Sus scrofa: one gene and its partner. The protein of the gene in region 2 interacts with the protein of the main gene of each other region in a pairwise test. Links are inferred from orthologs where the notes say so. Each region holds a gene or a part of one and is shown on either strand. Other genes may lie near its edges.

Evidence for each region.
Region 1: the proteins of TRIM55 (region 2) and USP13 interact in a two-hybrid assay, tested with the Homo sapiens proteins (2 studies listed by BioGRID and IntAct). The link is inferred for Sus scrofa from reciprocal best matches to the Homo sapiens genes TRIM55 and USP13.

The regions. Positions count from the first base shown.
Region 1 is NC_010455.5:117,780,406-117,791,944, reverse strand, and holds part of USP13 (ubiquitin carboxyl-terminal hydrolase 13), read right to left. Parts: intron 10,128-11,539; coding exon 10,002-10,127; intron 8,930-10,001; coding exon 8,776-8,929; intron 6,323-8,775; coding exon 6,148-6,322; intron 1-6,147. UniProt on the Homo sapiens protein: Deubiquitinase that mediates deubiquitination of target proteins such as BECN1, MITF, SKP2 and USP10 and is involved in various processes such as autophagy, endoplasmic reticulum-associated degradation (ERAD), cell cycle progression or DNA damage response.
Region 2 is NC_010446.5:68,523,844-68,536,012, forward strand, and holds the start of TRIM55 (tripartite motif-containing protein 55), read right to left. Parts: upstream 7,085-12,169; 5' UTR 6,903-7,084; coding exon 6,735-6,902; intron 6,215-6,734; exon of another isoform or gene 6,210-6,214; coding exon 6,037-6,209; intron 1-6,036. UniProt on the Homo sapiens protein: E3 ubiquitin ligase that plays an important role in regulating cardiac development and contractility, muscle growth, metabolism, and fiber-type differentiation.

The DNA of each region.
Region 1 (11,539 bases), on a different chromosome or scaffold from region 2:
GGCAAGTCATTTAACCTCTATGGATTTCAAATTCTCCATCACAAGGAGGGCAGAAGTGTATAGGCAATAATATAAAGGAGTTCTTCAAAAAACAGAAACTTCACTAGCCTAAGGAAATGATCTGTTATCACCCTGGCTCACTCTCCAGAAATTATATATTATCTCCAGGTTTTCCTATCTCCTGAGAAGCATTAACACACATCATTCTAAAATATAGCCGCATCTCCAATTTCCCCAAAAAACCAACAAACTCCATCTGATATTTTCAACTACTGTAAAAATGTCACCTCTCTGACCCTTTCCTCTTACCAGAGTAACTTAAAATCTGGAAAACGTAACAATGAAATCAACCAAAAGTCATCAGTAAATCAATGATTTCCAAAATGTGGTTCAGGAACCCTAAGACTCTTATGTGTTGCTCTGTGGTCAGTATCTGGGTGAGGAATCAGCTGGAAACACCATGGAGTACAGGGCAGTGGAGGGATCTCGACACTGGAGGGTGCCGAGGGTGGTCGGGGGGTGGATAATTTAACACATCACTTTGTTATGGATAACTACTAACCTAAGAGTACCAGAAAGCAGGTTGGATGATGGCCACCTTATATATGCCCTGCTGGGTAAACATTCCTTACTCATCTTGCTAACCTCCATAAGGTCTCAAGTTGAATCACACATGCAGTAACGAATTTGAACAAGTTTATATTGAGCAATCTCAAAATTAATACTTGGCATTCATTAATTGCAGGTTTGGGACATCGAGTGTGTTAGTTAAATCCAGCAATGTTATAAACTATGCAGCACTTACCCTTTTATTCCTAAATTTAATTCCTGGAATTAAAATTTTTCTTGAAAAGTTTTATGTTAAGGAGGACCATTAGAATATAAATCATTCAAAAAGGCCTAAATAGACACAGAGCAAATTTACCTCAAAGAATTGTTATGGGAACTGAGGACATAAAGTGCTTAGAATAGTGCCTGACAACACTGCTGCCTTGTCTATGACAATCTGGTATCATTATTTAAAATATATCAATTCTTAAATGTCCATCGACAGATGATGGATTAGGAAGATGTGGTATATATACATAATGGAATACTACTCAGCCATAAAAAATAACACAACAATGCCATTTGCAGCAACATGGATGAAACTAGAAACTCATACCAAGTGAAGTCAGAAAGCCAAAGACAAATACCATATGATATTACTTATATCTGGAATCTAAAATATGGCATAAATGAACCTTTCCACAGAAAAGAAACTCATGGACTTGGAGAACAGACTTGTGGTTGCCCAGGGGGAGGGAGAGGGAGTGGGATAGACTGGGAGTCTGGGATTTATAGATGTAGACTATTGCATTTGAATGGGTAAGCAATGAAATCCTGCTGTATAGCACTGGGAACTACATCTAATCACTTGTGATGGAGCATGATGGAGGATAATGTGAGAAAAAATATATATATACATATATGTATGTGTGTGACTCAGTCACTTTGCTGTACAGGAGAAAATGCACAGAACACTGTAAGCCAAGTATAATGGAAAATTTTTTTAAAATAAAAAATAAAAATCATTTAAAAATATATATTTATATCAATTCTTCACTAATTACAATTCAGGAAAAAACACTATAAAAGCCTTAAGAAAAAATATATAAACTGTCCCTCTCCCTAAAATTATTATTTTATTGAAAACCTGGCAACTAAAAAAATGTAATTCTATTCTTTCCATTAAATAGGTTGAAAATGCGATAATCAACCAGTCAAATTGAACCATCCAAGGCTAAAAAGAAAACAATAATGTAATAATTACAGTATATATTTATTCTCCCAGGCACTGTGCAAAGCATTTTATGTAGCTTACCTTGCCTTAATCCTCACCTCAAGCCTATAAAGAAAATACTATTCTTATCCCCAATTTACATATAAGGAAACGGGGTCTTATGGAAGTGAGGTCACTGAGCCAAGGTCACACACCAATAGTTTCTATCTACACTGAGGATTCAAATGCTGCCAGTCCACTAAAGCTTATGCTCTGGAACTGCATACCATGCTTTTCTCTTCCTAAATGATAAAGGTCAGAACAAAATCTCTCCCTACTGACCCTTAACCTGTAAGCTGATTAAGGGGAGGAACTAGGTCTTATTCAACTCATTGCTGACAATACACTGGCTGAGCAATAATATTCACTGGGTAAACTTTCCAGTCACTAATGTTCTTCCTGGTCACTGTCTGTTCATGACCAATTAAGGAAAGGGCCTTTATGTCTGGTGACCACTGACCCAAGATCTACCAAGAGGATATCTCCTGTCTCTTCCTAGGCTTTCAGGATCTGGGTCTAAGGCAGAAAAATTCAAGGCCCCAAATTAACATAATAAGGAGATCATGTCTGTATTGTTAGAAATAAGAAGAGAAAAAGATCTTTTAGAAAGCCACTAAACTGGTTTCCCCAAAACTAATATTTGAAACATGATACGGCATAATAAGGAATAAACAAGGTTCTATAAAGATTATAAAGATGGAGAGTTCCTGTTGTGGTGCAGTGGAGACAAATCCAACTAGTATCCCTGAGGATGCGGGTTTGATGCCTGGCCTCACTCAGTGGGTCAGGGATCCAGTGCTGCCATGAGCTGTGGTGTAGGTGGCAGATGCAGCTCAGATCGGGCGTGGCTGTGGCGTAGGCCGGCAGCTATAGCTCCAATTTGACCCCTGGCCTGGGAACTTCACTTACTGGCCAATTAGTTCCTTTTATCTCCTCCTCTGTACAATGGGAAGAATCATGTACCAACCTCAGGGTAGTACTAAGAGGATTAAGTGATAACTGATGGGAAGCATTTATCACATGCCCTAAATGGTAGTTGCTCTATTATCCTAAAACACTGTTTTCCTTTCCCACAATGACCAGTTTATTAACATTGTGATGCATCTAGTATACGTTTTTTTCATATACATAAACCATAAGTGTATGTATGTAAAAGACAGAGAAAAGAAAAAACACATTTAGGAGTTCCCGTCGTGGCGCAGTGGTTAACGAATCCGACTAGGAACCATGAGGTTGCGGGTTCGGTCCAGGCCCTTGCTCAGTGGGTTAACGATCCGGCGTTGCCGTGAGCTGTGGTGTAGGTTGCAGACACGGCTCGGATCACGCGTTGCTGTGGCTCTGGCGTAGGCCGGTGGCTACAGCTCCGATTCGACCCCTAGCCTGGGAACCTCCATTTGCCGTGGGAGCGGCCCAAGAAATAGCTAAAAAGACCAAAAAAAAAAAGAAAAAACACATTTAAATCTACTATTAAGGGTTAGAGAAAGCAGAAACCCCTCCTCAAGGATTCTAAATATCATACTAGCACTGCCTACAACTACATATATTTGTAGAATTTGAGGAGACAATAAGATCAGTGAGCATCATTCCTCCATTCAGAGGTCAGAAGTTCCTTGAGTGGTCTTTGCCCCAGAACAGAACACAGGAGAAGAATCCAGATCTCCTGAGCACAGGCCCAGGGGTCAGAGACTGTCTCTGTGGAAAGCTAATGCCCTCAGCTCCACCTTAGAAATGGGCCTTTTCCTAAGGATGAGAAGGCTCCTTCCCAAAGGTCCAGAGAGCATGTCACGCCCTGCACGGCTAAGACATGGGGCCACTTTTCCGAAAAGCAGAAAAGGGTGACCAAGTGGAGAGACCAGTGAAGACCACTCTGCAGTTCACACCTGATGTTGGGGGCTTCCATACAGAATCACAACTAAAGCCCAGAGAGAAAAGGAAAAATGTTTGGGGAATCTTCACCCTACTGTCAATAGTTAAAGTGGAAAAAATAGGAGTTCCCATCGTGGCGCAGCAGAAACGAATCCAACTGAGAACCATGAGGTTGTGAGTTCGATTCCTGGCCTCGCTCGGTGGGTTAAGGATCTAGCGTTGCTGTAAGCTATGGTGTAGGTCACAGATGTAGCTCAGATCTGGCATTGCTGTGGCTGTGGCCAGCAGCAACAGCTCTGATTCGACCCCTAGCCTGGGAACCTCCATGTACCACAGGTGCAGCCCTAAAAAGACAAAAAAAAAAAAAGTAAAAAAACAAAATCTACATGATGTACAACCTTATATGTCAATTATATGTCAGTAAAGCCAAGAGAAAAAAAGACATTGTTTCCACCACTAATATTGAGTGTAGATTTCTAGCTGCCCAAAGATGTGTCCAAGTTGGAATGAAGTGAATCTCTAACGTTCAACATGCCAACTCACTAACCATTATCTGCAAGGACACAAACACACAGACAAACACATATACACATACACAAAACTAAGCAGTCCTAGAATGAAAATTTACCACTCAATAGATAATCAATAACTATTATTAATCTCATTTAGATAGGAAGAAACTTTTTCAAAGAAATTATTTTAAGGAAAAAAATAGCGTTTTTTAGCTTTTGAAGTAGGTTCTTTCTGTTTTCCCATTTTTAAAACATGAAGTCAATCATCTGAAACAGGAATCCTGAGGGATGGCTGTCACGGGAAATAACAGATTCAGGTTTGACTGCTACTTGAGGTAGTGATTAAAAAAAAAAAAAAAAAAACAGCCAGCAGTAGCTCATCCATACTTCCTTCCCCTTCACATCAGCCAGCGCTCGGTCTCAGCCAAGAGGAAAAATTGCTGAAGAATATTTAAAAGCAGCGAGAGACCCAGAGCCTAACTTTTAGACCTCCCCTCTTTTTATCCTACCGTAAGGTCCTCTTTTCCAACTATATGAAATGTGCTGGTAAGGACTCACTTGACTGTATAAAATCAATTAAGGTGTTGGAGTTCGCGTCGTGGTGGTGCAGTGGTTAACGAATCCGACTAGGAACCATGAGGTTTCGGGTTCGGTCCCTGCCCTAGCTCAGTGGGTTAACGATCCGGCGTTGCCGTGAGCTGTGGTGTAGGCTGCAGTCGCGGCTCGGATCCCGCGTTGCTGTGGCTCTGGCGTAGGCCGGTGGCTACAGCTCCGATTCAACCCCTAGCCTGGGAACCTCCATATGCCGCGGGATCGGACCAAGAAATAGCAAAAAGACCAAAAAAAAAAAAAAAAAAATTAAGGTGTCAAATAAGGAAAAAAAAATTTTTTATTTGGCTTTTTTAGGGCCATACCCTTGGAATATGAAAGTTCCCAGGTTAGGGGTGGAATCAGAGCTACAGCTGCTGGCCTACACCACAGCCACAGCCACATGGGATCTGAGCCACATCTGAGACCTGCACCACAGTTCATGGCAACAATGGATCTTTAACCCACTGAGAGAGGCCAGGGATTGAATCCACATCCTCATGGATACTAGTCAGATTTGTTTCTGCTGCACCACAACAAGAATATCAAAATTCTTATGTATCTGAGAGCAAGGCTTTTAGAACACCTGCTGACCACATCCTAAGCAGCTCGTTGGAACAATGCTCAGGATCCCTGATGTCCCCTTTGAGAAACCCTCAGAGCCCCAGCTGCCAGGCAGGACCACAGCCACCAAGTCCTAAGGCAAATCTTTTTTTTGTTTTGCCACACCCACAGCATCTGGAAGTTCCATGGTCAGGAATCAAATCCCAGCCACAGATGCCACCTATGCCACAACTGCACCAACACCAGATCCTTAACCCACGACGCCAAGCTTCAGCAGCAACCTGAGCCACCACAGAGACAACACCAGATCCTTAACCCACTGTGCTACAGCAGGAACTCCAGCAAATCTTTCATTATCAAATTAAAGTCTATCACAGTAGAGTTTAAAAATTGAAGACTCTCAGAAGTATTTATACTTCTGATATCATTCTTGAAGCAGGGAAGGATTCTTGACTACCCCCTCTTGGCCAAAAAAAAAAAAGGCAAATTCCCTAAAGAGGACAAACCACAGCCTGGCTTTTTTTTAAAGGCATCCACATCCTTGCATATGATATAGATTACAACAAGCCTGTTTTACTGTACAAGTCTCATACAAGTGAGGTCTACGACAACTATGGTTGTGTAAATTATAATCCTATTTCACCACACTTGAGTCAAGCATGCCCAGACTCATACAGTGCCTGCCAACCCTCCCTACCACAGTCCCCACCTCTCAAGGTCCCCTCCTTACCCTACTGCCACCACATAAGCGAGTGCAGAAACATTACAAACACACACACACACACACACACTTACTTTACACCCGCAGACTTTGCTTGTAGGGCACTGCTCCAGAAATCATCAACGTTTTCTGGTTCAGAAAAGGCCTGAAGGCAGGCACTAAATGGTATCTTGGCACGCACCAACTCGGGAAGGGGTCTTCTATTTGCTTCTGCTTCCCTTCTCGTTAGTTCATAGGCGATCAACTCATCTAAGCAAAAGAGCAAACAAATGACTTTGCAATCACTTATCTTCTTGAAATAAAAAAGACCCTCTTGGGAGTTCCCATCATGGCTCAGGGGAAACGAATACGAATAGGAACCATGAGGTTGAGGGTTCAATCCCTGGCCTTGCTCAGTGGGTTAAGGATCTGGTGTCATTGTGAGCTGTAGTGCAGGTTACAGATGTGGCTCAGATCTGGTGTTGCTGTGGCTGTGGTGTAGGCCAGTAGCTGTAGCTCTGATTGGACCCCTAGCCTGGGAACCTCCATATGCCAAGGGTGTGGCCCTAAAAAAAAAAAAAACAAAACCCCTTGGACAATGAGCAATCTTCCCTGAAGGTCCTGGGCTGGGACAGGATTGCTTACTTGCTGCCCTCAAAGAGCCACAGAAGCCTGCTCAAAGCTTGTTTAGAGTGGCACCACCAGGCTGCATCAAGCCATTCATAGTTTTTTACCCATTCCGTTTGAGACTGATAGGAGGGAACTATCAACTCCCACCCAAGTGAGGGGGTCAAACCACACATGTGCCATAAGTGATGCATGAACCTGGTCTTTCATTTGTCCAGAAGTCAAGGCTGGTTTAACCACACACCACCCTCAAATCACAAAGCCTTCACACCACAGAATTTCACACTGAAAGAGACCTGAGGGCTCACCTCTTCCTGGGCCTGTCACTACAATTAGAGGTCATGGAGGGTGTGGGCCAAGGAGCAGGAAGAACTACAAGAACTGCAGTTATCCGAGGCACCCAGCCCAAGATTCTAACAAACACTGCCAAGACAACTTCATGCTGGGGTTACCCGACACTGCAGAGAGCAGGGAAGCCAAAGTCAAAATGTTATATAGATTTTGAATGGAACTTTCTGGGAATTTCTTTTGTGTTACCAAAAAAAAAAAAAATCACTCCTGATTTATCAGCTTTTTGGCACACTGATAAACACTTGTGTTTTCTTAAACACATCTGGATATGCTTTTACAATTCATTCCCCAGTCCACAATCAGTTTACAATGTACTTCTATCTAGGATGCTAGCATTAGGCATTCCCAGCAATTTTCTGAGACTAAATCATAAATCTCTTTCCTGAAAAAAAAAAAGTTACCTCTCATAAGCTATCAACAGTCAATTAGAGAAGATCACAGAACTGAGCAGAATATGTAAGTCACTATCCCCAAAGTAGGCAAGAGAAAGTGATGAAGCCTGGTGCTAAAAAGGAAACAAACCACAGACCCCCACCATCATTTCCTTTGTATAATGAATAAGAATTTAAAAACTAGGAGTTCCCATTGTGGTGCAGTGGAAACAAATCCAACTAGGATTCATCCCTGCAGGATCGATCTCTAGCCTCGGTCAGGGGGTCAGAATCTGTAGTTGTTGTGGCCTATGCTGTAGGTTGCAGACACAGCTCAGATCTGGTGTTGCTATGGCTGTGGCACAGGCTGGCAGCTGTAGCTCTGATTTGACCCCTAGCCTGAAAACTTCAATATGCCACAGGTGTGGCCCTAAAAAGACAAATTAAAAAAAAAATTAAGAATTTATAAACTAGTCAAAAGCTGCATGAGTTTATAGAAAATGGAAATCATTCCATCTTAAAAATCATCACAAGAGTGCCTGATGTGGCACAACAGGAACAGGGGCATTTCTGCAGAGCCAGGGCGCAGCTGCAGCTGAGGTCGTGCGGCTTGGATCTGATCCCTGGACTGGGAACTCCATATGCTGTGGGGCAGCCAAAAAAAAATCATCATAATCATCACTTTCTAATTAACACAACTAAGTGACTATCCCCTCCAAAAAAAGAGGAAAAGGTCACCCGGGGAGTGGCTGAACTTTGCAAAAATGACCAGTTCACGGGAGATAAGCAAGTCAGCAGATATTTCTCCTTTTCCTGCTTCTAAGATGTTAATTCTACTAATTCATGAAGAACCAGATCAGACTGATTGAAGGAACCTTCCCCTGAGCCTCCACCTGGTTCCAGTATCTGCCTTCTTCCTGCTTCCTAGGTCCAGAGACCCTCCTAAGGGGCCTCACTCCACAAAGAGCCCTGCCATGCTTTATCCCAGCAGGCATCTTACTCAGCTGTCAAAGCTGGATTATTTACAGAGGCCTCTGCTTGAATGTCTCACATCAAAAAACGCAGTTCTGATCATTTTCCTCAGACTTTACAGTACTTAGGAATGATAATATTAAATTACTAATAATTTCCTCCACATTAAGCTAACTCTAAACCAACCACTGGGTCAAATTTCATAGGTGCCCAAGTAGGTTCCCTGAATAAATCCTCTACAAAAATCTCAGTCAGACGGGGACGGAGGAAAAGCTGAAGAGCTTTTGAAAAGAGCAAGCCAAACACTGGGTCCACTCTTGTTCAGTCAACCATGCATGACTAAACGGCAGTATCTCTGGTGCAAGTTTCTACATGATGAAGTCCATTGCTCATCCCCATTACCCTTGTTGGTCGCCGCCTCCATGGCCACGGGTAACTGCATCAGGTAATCCACCCTCTCCATGTAGCGGACTTTCCGGGTCTGACAGCACTGAATGCGTTCTTCCACCAAAAACCGAAAAACGTCACTTGGGTTTTCTGAGCCAATGCGGTTCCTCTGAAGGTTGGATTATATCAGGTTAGTAAATTCATGAATATTAAGCCCTGAATGAAAATTAGCATAAAATCACACATAAATCTGGTGTAAAGACCTGGTGCTACCAAATGTTCCCTCTGGGCATGCCAGTTCACCAGAGAACTTCAAAGCAAAAGACTGGTATTTACCTAAAGTCCAAACATGGCAGATTGGTCAAATAAATTATAGTTCATCATGTGAATTAACATTATGCAGCCATTAAAAGTCATGGCAGAGACTTTTTCTGACCTAGATAGAACTAGAAGAAAGGAGATGAGGAAACCCAATTAAAGAAAAAGGAGGAAAAAAAAAAAAATCAAGGACTGCCCTGGAAAAACTAATCCATGTATGATACGATTATGTAAATGCACTAATGCAAATTATATAAAAATCAAAAAGAAGTCACGTTATATTCAAGTATGTAATGACATGGCAAAACATTCACAAATGAAAATCAGCATGCAAAGAATTGATTTCACCTGGAAAATCACCAGGGTGGGGGGGTCAGACACCAAAATATCAGCATTGATCATTCGTGGGGCTGGTAGCATGGAGGTTTTGGTTTTCTCCTTTGTGCCTTTCTGTTTCCACAAGGAACACATTTGTCATCAGGAAAAAAAATAGTTGTTTCTTTTCAGAGGGGAAAAAAGCCTTTAATCATGAATTCTCCGTAGCCTTTAAAAACCACAGCATTTAATGTGATTTGCCTCTGCTCTGAGCCAAGAGTGACTGTCTCGGAGTGATGGCAGGAGGACACCAAATACCATGCGGGACTCTCAGGAAGCATGTTGCAGGGACAAAAAAAAAACAAAAACAGCGAATAGAAATAATGGATCAACACTCCTATAACACGTTCAAATTAAGAGGAGAACAGGCAGACCCAGAAGTGCCCAGGAGGGTGATTATATCAAATGGGCCCAGAGGAGGAAGCCCCAAAGAACCAATTCTGAATTAGGTGGGGAGGGGGGCGTTCCAGCCACATCAGCGGGGACTGCATGCAAGGGCGGGGCACACTTCTTACAACTCTTTCCAGCATTTTGAAAGACTGATTCACCTCTACTAGATTCACCAGGTGTAAGAAAAATTCTTGGGCATCCTGCTGTCTGTTGGAAGAGAATTCTGGGTGGCTCTTGCTCACAAAGGCCTTAAACATTCGTGGAGAGATCCCATTCTGTTGAGGCTGAAAAATGAAAATAACCAATTCACAACACTTTCATACACATTAGCAGCACTAAGTGGGAAACAGAGTGGCGATTACCATTAGCCCTGACTTGCAGATAAGAAAACTCAAGCCCACAGAAGCTAAATAGTGATAGTGGCCAACATGCACTGGATGTTGACTATGTACCAGGCATGAGAACAGGACTCTTCCTGCTGACTCAGAACTAAAGGCGTGATAAACACCCCACTTTCTGTCCTTATAGGACTTGCTCCTCAGTGGGCATATGGGTCCATGACAGCCTATTTCAGAGCAGGCTAGTGATGCATTGGCAGGGGGTGGGGAGGGTCCTCTGAAGGAAGTTACAGGAGAGGAGGGCTCTGCAGCCTCTCCCATGTGGGAAGATGAGAGAAACCCTGGTGGAGACTGGGGTACCAGCAAGAAAAACCAATGGCTCCGCGCCCCAGGCAACTGCTGCAGAGCTCCTGGGCTCTGAGTGTACCTGCCTGGGGCTGTTTCTGGAGCAGAACACAGGGAGCTCTCAGGAACTTGCCTTTACCCGGAGAAGCATAGGAGGCTGGCTGCAACTGCCAGGATGGGAAAAGCAGAGACAACTCTGGCTGACAAGGATGTGTGGGCTTCTTCTGGGGCTAAAAGGAGAGCTCAGAAGGCAGTCAGGCCCCGCCAGAGAGGGCACCATATAAGACGATGGGATGGCGGCTGAAGAGGCTCAGGCAGGAGCTGGGATGGGGATATAGAGGTTGTCGGTCTCTAAATCAGAGACGGAACTAAAACCAAGATCCTCTGCCACGTTTATGATGAACCTCTCAATCTAAACTTTACTCCCTTTCTTGTTCCACACTGGTTCCTTCTTAAGATTGAGGAACATCAAAGAAAAAGGTAGACTGAAACCATGTATAAGCCCTTGAGTCCTTGTGGGCTTTTCCTTTTTTTTTTTTTTTTTTTTCGCTTTTTTTAGGGCTGCACCCACAGTATATGGAGGTTCCCAGGCTGGGGGTAGAATCTGAGCTGTAGCTGCCGGCCTACACCACAGCCACAGCAACGCAGGATCCGAGCTGCATCTGTAACCTACACCACAGCTTACCGAAACACCAGATCCTTAACCCACTGAGCGAGGCCAGGGCTCAAACCTGCGTCCTCATGGATTCCAGTCAGATTCATTAACTGCTGAGCCACGACCGAAACTCCTAGTCCTTATGTTTTGAAGTAAAAGGCTTTTCCTTTAACCTCCCAGGCCTCCCCTCAGTTTCAAAAGACTGACTCAAGGGTTAATGATTAGGAAATATTTCTACAGCTAAAAACTAGTTAAAACAGTCTCCATTATGTTATGTCCTTAACCCACTAACTTACTCTAACTGGCTTTTCACAAATAATTTCTTCCTTGCTTAATTGCTTTCTTTTTCTAACGGTTA
Region 2 (12,169 bases):
TAGTTTATTGAAGTATAGTTGATTTACAAATATTGTGTTAGTTTCAGGTGTATGGCAAAGTTACTCAGGTATATATAGTTTCCCCATTATTTTTCATTATATGTTATTACAAGATAGTTAATATAATTCCCTGTGCTGTGCAGTAAATCCTTATGGCTTATCTATCTTAAAAAATATATTTATTTATTTATTTATTTTTGACCACAGCATGCAGGGGCTTGATGTAGGATTTCAGTTCCCAGAACAGGGACTGAACCTGGGCCACAGTGGTGAAAGTGCCCAGTCCTAACCACTAGACCACCAGGGGACTCCTATTTTTTCCTAGAGTTGTTTGTATCTGTTAATTCCATCCTCCTAATTTATCCCTTTTACCCTCCCCTTCCCCTTTGGTAACCATAATTTTATTTTGTATGTCTGTGAGTCTATTTCTATTTTGTATATAGATTATAGATTCATTTGCATTATTATTTGTCTTTCTCTGTCTGATTCACTTCACTAGGTCCATCCGTGTTGCCGCACAGGGCAATATTTCATTCTTCTTATGACTGAGTAATATTCCATTTTATAGATAGATCTCAAATCTTTATAAGCCAATTGTCTGTTGATGGGCACTTGGGTTGTTTCCATGTCTTGGCTATTGTAAATAGTACTGGTAAGAACATTGGGGTGCATGAATTTTTTTGAATTAGTTATCAGCTTTTCCAGATTATATACCCAGGAGTGGGATTGCAGGATCATGTGATAACTTTGTTTTTAGTTTTCTAAGGAACCACCCTACTGTTTTCCATAGTGGCTGCACCAGTTTACATTCCCACTGATGGGAATGTAAACTGGTTCCCTTTTATGGGACTGAGCTTCTTAAGCTGTTATCATGATCCACTTTTCTAAAACTTCAGGGTTTTGTGGGCCATGAAATCAGTTTGGGGGTCATGATCAGCATTGTTAAAATCAAAATAGAATAATAAATACCGTGAACTGCATGTGGTAAGGATAAATATTGATGTGTGTTTCAGGTGTACATGTATTTATATATATGTACATAAATGTGTATACAAATACCTATGTATACCTAAAACAAAAGTGTATATATATATGTGTGTGTGTGTGTATGTGTGTGTGTGTGTGTGCGTGTGTGTTTGTGTGTATATATATATACATGGGAAGGCCATCCATGTATGTAATGGTCATAAGATTACAATTTAAAATATACTTCCTGCTTTGAGCCCTTAACAAAAATATTTGAATACCATTGATACTGATGGGTGGCATCATGGAGTTGCAGCCCCAGGACTCAGAGAAAAGCAGAGCATGTGCTTATTTCCATCTGGAAGTCACTGGGTAACTGTCAAGTGCTTGAGGTTGGGCTGACTTTGGGCGAAGCCCTGGGTGTGGTGAGGAAGTTGTATGGACTTCCAGCTTCAAGATTTCAGAATCTGATTTTGGCAAAAGGCTTTTACACCTGGTTGCATAGGATATGTTTTCCAGGAAGCCTCCTGACTGATTTCTGCCACACGCTTGGAAGTCAACTAAGGAAAGTAAACTCCACCCCTGAGAAAATGATTCCATGTCCCAGGTCTGTTTCTGCCACTAGAATGTGAGCGCCATGAGGGCAGAGGCCGTGGCCTGTCTTCTTCTTTGCCAGATCCCCACTGTGCACAGCGGTGCTTTGCATAGAGTGGCTACTCAGTAAATATTTGTTGAATGAATGAGTGAGAAGTGAAAGGGAACTTGCCAATTAGTGGACAGTATTCCCTGGGCTCAACCATAAAACCGCTCATCTGGAGAAAGCTTGTGACCGTGAGAACGCTTGGTCACCTGGCTCTCCTGAGTGGCAAAGGAAGAGACCAGACAGCACCTGAAGACTCCATTTATAAATGACAAAGCCCTTGAGGGTTATCCAAAGGCTGGGAGGGGCGAGATGGTCTTTGGTCAAAGGCTGCTCCACCTCTTAAACCTTCCCTACTGGGTACCTCCACCTGGTGATAAATGTCAAGCAAGTGTCTGGAGCACAGTTGGTGGAAGGGGACACAGCTGACGGCAAGGCTGCAGCTCTCTTCTAGGTGTTTCCTCAGGGCAGTCTGTGGCCCGTGTACTGTTCTAGGGTCAGCAGCAGGGACCAGAGATGACATTGTAGAGCTCAGATATTTTCAGTGTGTCCAACACTAAGGTGGAAACAGCCATCAGCTCTTCATTTAGCTTCGGATGGTGATGACTTTTTCATAATGCCATAAGACATGAGGACTTCCTCCAATGTTCCTTATAGGTTTTTCCTGTTTAGATGGCAGCGCAGGGGCAGAGACACCCCCCACTTACAAGTGGGTGTATAAGGAAAACCTTCAGACCCCTTAAAACACCTAACAGACTTGGGACGGGCATGGCATGTAGAGATGTAAAGGCAGCTTCATGAGGCGAGGGTGGCTGAACTCTCAGTTGTGGTTCAGGGCACTGGTGGTGGCCCCCAGCTGTTCAGTGCAGGCTCCGCTCAGGGTGTGTGTAGCCTGCTTTCTGCTAAGTGGCTGGGACCAATCCTCAGGTTTCCTGAAGGGTGGGCATCTGATGTGGATGAGGTGTTCCTGGCAGTACCTTTACAGTTAAGCTGATCTCAAAGCCTGCCTCCAGCTCAGTTTCTCCATGTGGTGGCTACGTGGCCTTAGTTGTCTAGAGTTCCTGCAGCTCTTTCAGGATCAGCTTTTACTCGTATCTGAAAATTGGACTAGGGGTCTGTCTTCTAATCAAGTATGACACAGTGAACACGTGAATTTATGTGTTCCTTGCTGAAATCCCACTAAAATGAGAGTAAGGGAATCAAAAGGTATAAATCAATAAGGACAGAGAGTTCCCTGGTGGCCTAGTGGTTAGGACTTGGAGTTTTCCCAGCTGCAGCCCAGGTTCAATCCCTAATCTGGGAACGGAGATCCCACAAGCTGCTACATGCTACAGCCAAAAAATAAATACAGATTTAAAAAAAAATAAGGACAAAAATGAGCAAAATGAAAGCAGAGAAGAGATGTCAACCAAGTGCTGAAAATTGGGACCATCTGGATGAACGGAGGTGACCTGCCTGAGCTGCACTGTAGTTGTGCTGAGAGCCTGCAGGGGAGAAGCGTACAGGGAGCAAGCTGCTCCCCCTGCGAAGGCCCTGGGGCTGCAGAGGCCACGCACTCGGGGGGCGGGAGTGTGGAGAGGCTGGAAAGAAGAGGACTTTTTGCACATTTGGGGGATTACTTGAAGGCATGCTCCCTAAAGCAGTAGATAAAACCAACAAAGAGGTCAACCTCGAGCCAGAAACAAGGGCTTCAAGCCAGGGGAGAGGAGGTGAAGCCCAGCCACGCAAGGGCTCAGTCCTCCCTGTCTACAGTTGCAAAGTCGAGGACTAGGAGCAGACTAGCAGCATACTCCTCCCCTGTCACTGGGTGACAAATGGCCAAAGAACAGCTGAAAGAGTTAAATGTGGTTCCCTCAGTGCTCAAAGAGAGAGTAGGGCAGAAAATGCAGCCCTGGAGTTCCGGTCATGGCTCAGTGGTTAACAAATGCAACTAGGAACCATGAGGTTGAGGGTTCGATCCCTGGTCTTGCTCAGTGGGTCAAGGATCCAGCGTTGCTGTGAGCTGTGGTGTAGGTTGCAGATGGGGCTCGGATCTTGAGTTGCTGTGGCTCGGCAGCTACAGTTCTGATTAGACCTCTAGCCTGGGAACCTCCATATGCCGCAGAAGCGGCCCAAGATATGGCAAAAAGACAAAAAAAAAAAAAAAATGCAGCCCTCATTTGAGGTCTTGTAGTGCTATTGGAATGTTTAAAATTATGCATGTGCATAGGAATTACTTTGACTAAAATTTTTTAATATTTTAATAAGGTGTTAATAATAATAATAACTACAATCTCACATGATTATTATGAGAATTAAGGAATTACACATGATTCATGTGTCTAGCAGCCTGAACAGTGGCTGACACATATTCAACACATAATTGTTTTACTTTCTGTGTTTTACAGTTACTCGTTATTATGTTCATTATTAATATTAGTGAAATTAGTTCCTTCTCTCATCATCCCACTCCCAAACTGTGGCTAGTTCAGCACCAGGCAGAATGATAGGTTAGAAGGCCAGGTTTCATTGAGACCTACCATCTCCAGCCATTCTGTGGGAAGCCAGACTGGACCAGCCTCCTCCCCTATCTGCGCCCACCCTGACCATGGGCCAGAGTCAGTTCATTTCACTCTATGTATCCTCGTTATTCCAGAGTCACCTAACATACCCTGGGCCTTAGGGTTCTGGGCTGGTAAATCTGCCAGCCTCCAGGGAACAACTGGGTTTATGTTCAAACATGTGCCCAAGCCCTCTGTACAATTTGTGGTTTCGCCACTAAGTAAAAATGTCCCAAAGGCAAGTCTCAACTTCCAGAAACACCAGCATAAGAAGAATTTGATAATCACAAAAACACTGCTAGTCTACTCAGTCATGAGTTTCGTTGTTGGAAGTTTGGTTCATTGCTTTTATGCAGCTTGTTCACCCGGGCACTGTATTTGGCAGTCGCGCTGCACAGACTTTAAAGCCAGGATGTGTCTTGTCATTTTACTACTGCTACAAATTTTTAACATCTCCTCTTTTCTGGATTACATAACAATTACTATTATTATTTCATATCATTCAAGCTCTCACTCTGCAAGTAGCAAAACAGAAAATTATTGCAATAAATAGAATGTGTAAGAAGATTTATGGGGTTGCATAATCACCTGGCACTTAGGGAGCAAGTATTCCGTGCAAACCACTGTACTAGGCACTGAATCAGTTGTTACATAAAGAGCCTTAATGATCAGTTGGTTATTATTTGGCTGGTTAATTTAAGAGACAGTTTATCTATTTGCATCTTAAAGTAATGAAATAAAATGAGATCAAATCGTAATTACAAAAATGGTACTTTCCTTCTTCTCAAGAGATTTTGGAAGCAAGGGAAATAGCCAACTCCATCTCTGCAGTACGTTGTCAGCAATTCTTCCCAGTGCCATCTATATCCTGGCACTATCTAATTTAGTTTTGAATCTTAAGCAGAAATGAATAGCCATAGCGATGATAATAATTATATGTTAGGTTTATAGAACAGCTTTCTTTCTAAGAGCACAAGGCTCCTAGGGCCCTGCAGATGTTCCATGAGTCTACGTCTCCTAATAGGAAGCACAGCGAGGTCATTTCTAGATGGTCTCAGTATTGCTATCTGGTGTTGTGGGCTGCACTGACTGTACCATTAAAAAGGGGGCTCTTCACACCATGCCTTCTAGGAATGAACTCCTGCAGTGTTGTCTTTAGGAAAGGAATACTATAGCCAATGTGATTCGATGAGTAAGATGCACCCACTGCCCCTTTTTAATGACTGATGTGTATACTGCGTGTCAATCAGCAAGTGAATGCCAAGAGCCCATAGTACAACCTAGAGAACAGGGAAACATAACCTGAGCACCCTCTTCTTCTTTTTTTTTTCTTCGTCTCTAAACTTTTAAGTTGCTAAAGCTTAGGACTCTGCCTTGCTTTGCTCCTTTCCAGAGTCAATACCATGACCACGTCAGAGGATTTTCTTTTTATGATTCTCCTCTAGAAAATTTTAAAGTGAGACTGTCTGATCTAAGAGGTTGATTTTGGAAGATGTCATTTCTGTTAATTTCCTATTGTGTAGACTCTGGAGCTCTAAAGGACCTGTGAAGTGCAGAAACGTCTCCTGTGGATGTAATACCAGGCTGGGAGCAGGGGCAGCATCATGCCTCTTTCAAGATCACCATCTGGACTGGATTAGTGATAATGAGTTACTTCATTCTTAAATTGATAGAAAAGCATGGGCACCAGCTTCCTTCTCTCCTCCCAAGAGCAACTCTCTCTCCCATTGGTAAGGACTGACTTGGAAAAACATTTTCCTATAAAACAATTAGCCCGTGATTGGCAAACAAGCATTCAGTATAGCGACCCACTAAAACAAACAAATAAACAAAAGCAAGCTTCCAACGTGTTTGACACGGCCGGCGGGGGCAGGGGAGGGGGGCGCATACCTGGTGGACTCTTGCTTGTAGATGTCAATAATATTCTCCACCAGCAGGTTTCTCTGAAGCCCGTATATCCCATGTCTGTCCAAAACCACTTCGTGTCTGCAGGATGGGCAGCGGAATCGGCCCCCCGAGGCCACAGTGGTGCCTCCTCTTGTGGGCAAGTACGGGTTAGAGGCCTGTTCTTGCCGAGCAAGAAAAGAGGAATTGAGCATTGCCACAGGTAGCTTTCCTGGGACCTCCTTTCCCTCTCAGTTACTACAAACAACATCAACTCCTTGCTGGGAGATAGTAACTGGTCCCAAAACACAGGACCAACCCTCACCCATGGTCAACTGCAATGTGCCATTTTCAGCATGAGGTCCTTTTCCACCTAACGTTTTCATAACCAAAAGTTCCAGCCAGAAACTCCAACAGTAATGCCTTGGGCAGTAATTCATTTACAATTTTGAAACAGATTCAATGTTTCTAAAAGGACAAATATGATTCTTAATATTTTAATAAAATTAGATTTGAGAGCCAGGAGGAGGCTGATGGCAAAGCACAAAGCAAATCACTTTTAAAAATGGTCTTTCTTTTTGGTTGTTGTTTTAAATAAATGCAACCTTAGAACGCTTCCTAGAGAAATTCACCTCAGACTTAAGCACTTGATTGGGAGATGAGAACATTTTTTCCCTCTACCCCTAGATTCCAAACAAACCTACCTGGAAAATGTCACTGGCACATTTCCTGCACAGGTTGTGCTGGCAGGGAAGAATGACCACGGGCTTTGTGAACATCTCTAGGCAGATGGGGCAAATGAGTTGCTTCTCCAAGTTATCCATGGTCTGCTGCTCTTTGGAAAAAGACTTGTAATTCAAAGATGCGCTCATCTCCTGGCCGTCCCCGTGTGCACTGCCAGGGAAAGCGTGCTTCGAACGGTTTCGGCGAGTGATTCCTGGAAATAATTCCAAGGATTGTACAATCAAGCGTCCTTTACGTTTCTTTTGGTGGAGGACATTGTTTCAGGCTGGGGTTCAGAGCAGTGCTCGAGCTGTTTTTAGCAGCCGAGGGTCACGTGACAGCTGGCTGACTTCTCCATATAAGCCAGTGACAGGAGGATGGATTCTGACAGGTGACAGGGAACAGGGGCCAACATTCCTGGCCCAAGGAGTGAAGAGAGTGGGTGGGAAGGAGGACTGCAAAAGCCATTTAGACAGGGGTTGTGAGGAGCGGGAGGTGCCGCTGACAGTTGTCAACAACAAATGGGAATGTTCGTGCCGAGTCACTGAGCTATGCCCTCTGTGAGCACTCAATAAGGACTCGGTGACGGGCTTCTCCAGGACTGGGGAGAATGTCATCCAAGTAGAACGAAAGCCATTTCTGTGTTGAGAATTTAGGAAGCCAGTCACCAAAAGGAGCAATGACCCCCCTGCCTGAGGTGAAAACAGACAAAACAGGTCCTGAAGAGCATCATCCTGGCTTCACAAAGGTAGTCATCTAAAAAGCCTCGCTTCGTCTTAACCACTTCCTCTTTGTGAGGGTCAGGAAATGCGAAAAATTCCAACTTAAAAACTGATTGCTAATCTTTTCACCATAGGAGGCTCCACAAAATTTTAAAATATCCAAATGCCACTTGATGATCCAGGTTTTTTTAGAAGTTGTGAAAGAAAGCTCTAGTGTGCGTTTCCCTCCCTTTTGCCTACTCCTCTTTCATCCTATACCCCACCCCCACCCCCAAAATGCCCAGAAAATTGGACAGCCTTTAAACATTTAAATTTAGTTTCCATCGACAATCAGTAATACAGTAGTAACTGGGACATGGGGTCAGACCCCTTATTTCGTTTTGCCACACAGTGGGGAACAGATGGCAGGGCCATCTTCAGTGGACATGAAAACCGAGTCCTGCTTCCAGATCTGGGTTTTATCTGGTCTGAAATACCTATACCCCTTGGCATTTGTCTCACTTACCAAGGTGATTTTTTTTTTTTTAATGATAGTTTCTCTGGCCATTTCCTGGACTGTTTCTTGAGCCATCAGTTTCAGTTCTGATATTTGCCGGGATTTTGTGAAACCACTGTTTCAGCTATATGTTTTGTTTAAATATTTAAAATCAGATCAAAAATGAAAAAGAAACACGTCTATTTTTTATGTGCTAAATTTGCAGTTTTATTTCTCCTTGATTTTAAAAACCTCCTGCAATGAACACCTTGTGTTAGCACATCCCCAGCGTGCACTTAATTACCAGCAAAGAGTAGGGGGCTGTGACTGGTCATGGGTGCCCTTCATGCTAGTGCACTGAGCGCTTACTGAGAATCTAATAAGCTCTATTAACAAATAATAAGTTACGCGTATTCATAAACCTTTCAGAGATCTTTGGAGAATTTTCTTATTCCTTTCAATAGCTTTTTAGCAACTACAGCGAAGGAGAGAACTGGTGACATTTTTTTAGTGAGTAATTAGTTCACCTAGCTGAGGCGTTAACTGTGTTTATTATCACATGGGCTGTGATGGTCTGAGCAAGACATGAGAACTCTTTTCTAAACAAAATGAAGTTTCTATTGTAAAAGACCTTGCAACCTCAGGAAAAGCACTTAAATGAGTAATGTACATTGTAGCCAAGCCTATCCTTTTAAGAGGAAATCATTCCCTCAAAAAATACTGGTTGAGGAGTTCCTGTTGTGGCTTAGTGGGTTACAAACCCAAGGACAAGGGTTCGATCCCTGGTCTTGCTCAGTTAAGGATCTCATGGGTTAAGGATCTGGCGTTGCCATAAGCTGTGGTGAAGGTTGAAGACCTGGCTCGAATCTGGTGTGATGTGGCTGTGGTGTAGGCCAGCAGCTGTAGCTCTGATTTGACCCCTAGCCTGGGAACTTCCATAAGCCACACCTGCGGCCCAAAAAAATATATATTGGTTGAGCGTTTCTCAGGTGTCTCTATTGTGTTCGGCTCTGGGGATTGAAAACTGAATAAGACACAAGTCACTGTCCTCAAGGAACTCAGTCTGATATATAGCAGAGATAAAACATGCATATACAGAACCACAGTCCAAAGAACATGTGACAAAAACTGCAGGATGTGGAGGAGTCAGGAGGGCTTCATGGGTGGGGTGGCATTTGAGTTGATCCACTGAGGAACTTAGATGTTGATGGGCCTGTTGTTGCAGGGGACATAGGTGGAGCTTTCCAAGAGAAGGCACAGAAGCAAAGACAGGAGTGCAGGGAAAGCTCAGAGCAAATGGTGCTTTGGGCTGGAGTACAGAGCATGCTGCTGGCACACTGGCAGCCTGTGGACACTGTGCTGAAGAGTTTTTAACACTTAATAAATTAGACAACAGGAAGTCGTTGAGAGTTTCCCTGAGAGCTCTGCATTGGTTACATTTATCTCAGTGGTGGCTGGGATGGGCGAGGGTGAAGGTGACCTGGCTAATGACCAGATGGGAGATTGTTGCCAGTAGCCTAGGTGAGAGGTCAGATGCCCTGGCACCGGGCGACGGCAGTGGGAAAGGAAAGGAGGAAGTGGACTCTGGCAGCGACGAAAGTAAAATCCACAGAGGTGACTCAGATGCCTGAGCCTGAGCAACCACGGGGATGCAGTGAGAAGCTGCACAGTGAGTCAGGAGAGCCAGCTCCCATGTCTGCCTCGCTGGCTGATCCTGGGAAAGTGACCTCACCTAGCTATATTTCAGTCCTTTCATCTCTGAGTGGGATTCATAACCTAACTTAGCAGTTTTGTAGAAAAACCACTCTGTACCAGCACGAATTTTGACATTGAGACTCCCCAGTTAAATTACTTGCTGTAGAGTTGTGCTCTCTCCTCTGCTCTCTGTTATTCTCTGCTCCTTCTTGATCTCTGCCTTTGATCTGGCTTTGAAACTGCTCCTGGAAGCTACACAGGGAACCAGTGCAAATCCCACAGGAGGAAGAGCCAAGTTGATGGCTGAGAAGCGCCTTCCCCTCCTCATCCTCTTTCCTCTGTTCCTTGCTCCTCCCCTCTCTCAGAGACCAGCCGTCTGGGATTGGGGGATGTGAATTGGGAGTGGGACAAGGCGGGCGGGGGGGGGGCAGAAAATTTTTGTCTGCTCCCAAATCATCCAGAATCTGAGAGATGGGGAAAAATTCTGGACCTATATCAGAATTGAAGTCACCTTCAAGGCTCTGGGATTTGGAATGGACTTGGGCCTCCACGGAGGTGTGGAAACTAGCTTAGTCTCCCGAAGGTGGCCTGGATTTTATGGGGGTGTACAACTTCCTCACCTCTCCTACCCACCCCACCCCACCCCCACCTAGCACAGGGGGTTGAGGCCAACCAGGGGCAACCACACAGGACATTGCCACAGTTTGAGGTGCGCTGTGCCAGGGGTACAATCAGATACATTGAGAAGTGGAAGCAAAACCATCGTGGCTCTCACTTTCTCCAGAAGTTTCCCAATTCCCTCATCAGTCAGAGGAAGGAAGATGGATCCTAAGTACCCGAGTTTATACCTAACAGTGGAGTTGGCACTGAGGGCTGACAATAGACAGAGAGGACTCTTGACCTCTTTCAGCCTCTAGCTACCAGGCCAAGGGAACTCAGGCTTAAGGGTCCAGGGCATAGGAGTGAAGTGTAGACCTCAGTGTGTGCTTCATCTCAGGAAGGGAGGCAATGAGGTTCTAAACTCTCCTGCTTTTAGTACCAACACAAACATAGATATTTGCAGAGTACCAGTCACTTCTTAGAATAGACGTCTGTAATAGATATTATTATCTCCATTGAGTCAACTGTGGCTCCGTGAAATTAAGTAGTTGCCCAGAGTCATATGGGCAACTAGTTGTGAAGCAGATTCAAAGACACTTCTTTTGACTACAGAGCATGTGACCTCATTCACTAAGCTCCACTGCACTGTCCAGAGCCTGCAGCACACTGTCCATTAGAATTTTCTGCAATCGGGAATTCCTGTCATGGCGCAGTGGTTAAAGAATCCGACCAGGAACCATGAGGTTTCAGGTTCGATCCCTGGCCTTGCTCAGTGGGTTAAGGATCCTGCGTTGCCATGGCTGTGGTGTAGGCCGGCGGCTACAGCTCCGATTCGACCCCTAGCCTGGGAACCTCCATATGCCGCGGAAGTGGCCCAAGAAATGGCAAAAAGACAAAAAAAAATAAAAATAAAAATAGAATTTTCTGCAATGATGTAAAATTTCTGTATCTGTGCTGTCCGACCTCTAGCCATAAGTAGCTATCGAGTACTTGAAATGTGTATAGTGAGACTCAAGAACTGAATGTTTAATTTCATTTATTTTAAACTTAGGTTTAAACAGCCATATGGGGCTAGTGGTTACCGTATTGGACACCAGCCCTAAAACATGAGATATTAAAAAATCTTTGGGGAAAATTGAAATGTGTATAAAGGATTCTCCAGCAGGAACTGGGTCTACCTCATTGGTAGATTTTGTACTTTCTGATTAGGGTGACATGAAACTCCTCTAACCCCAGAGTAGTAAAAAAAGCATCATCAACTGTAGATTCCAGCTTGCAAAACAAGACAGAGCAAGCAGTCTGGGGATAGGAGGCATTAGTAAGCGCCCAGGGAATAGTATCAGGAATGCTAGAATGTCCTCAGCATTTCCTTTACCCATGTTCTCTTTGTCTCTTGCACACAGGTTCTCTAGGTCTCTTGCACACAGGTAATTGCAAACCCATGTACTTAAAAATAACCTAGGCTTAGCTCAAGGAACTGGGTAGTCATTCCTCAAACAAGAAAGATGAAAAGTGGAGCTAAAAAAAAAAAAAAAAAAAAGATAGATACTTGATGTTCCCCTTGTTGCTCAGCAGGTAAATAATCTGTCCATGAGGATGGGAGGGTTCGATCATTGGCCTTGCTCAGTGGGTTAAGGATCTGGCATCGAAGATGTGGCCAGGATCTGGTGTTGGTGTAGCTGTGGTTGTAGGCGATTTACCCCCTAGCTCAGGAACTTCCATGTGCAGGTGCAGCTGTTAAAAAAAAAAAAAAAAAAAAAAGATACATCTTAAAAGAAAAAAAGATACAGTTTGAAGTGAAGCAGTGAGGCAGAGTGCAGTCCTGGTGGAGGAGAAAATGAGAGGAACTAGAAGGCTGATCTTGCCTCTGGCTCAGCCTCCAAGATAGAGGAAAGTGAATTCTTCCTTCGCGTATCCACCAGAA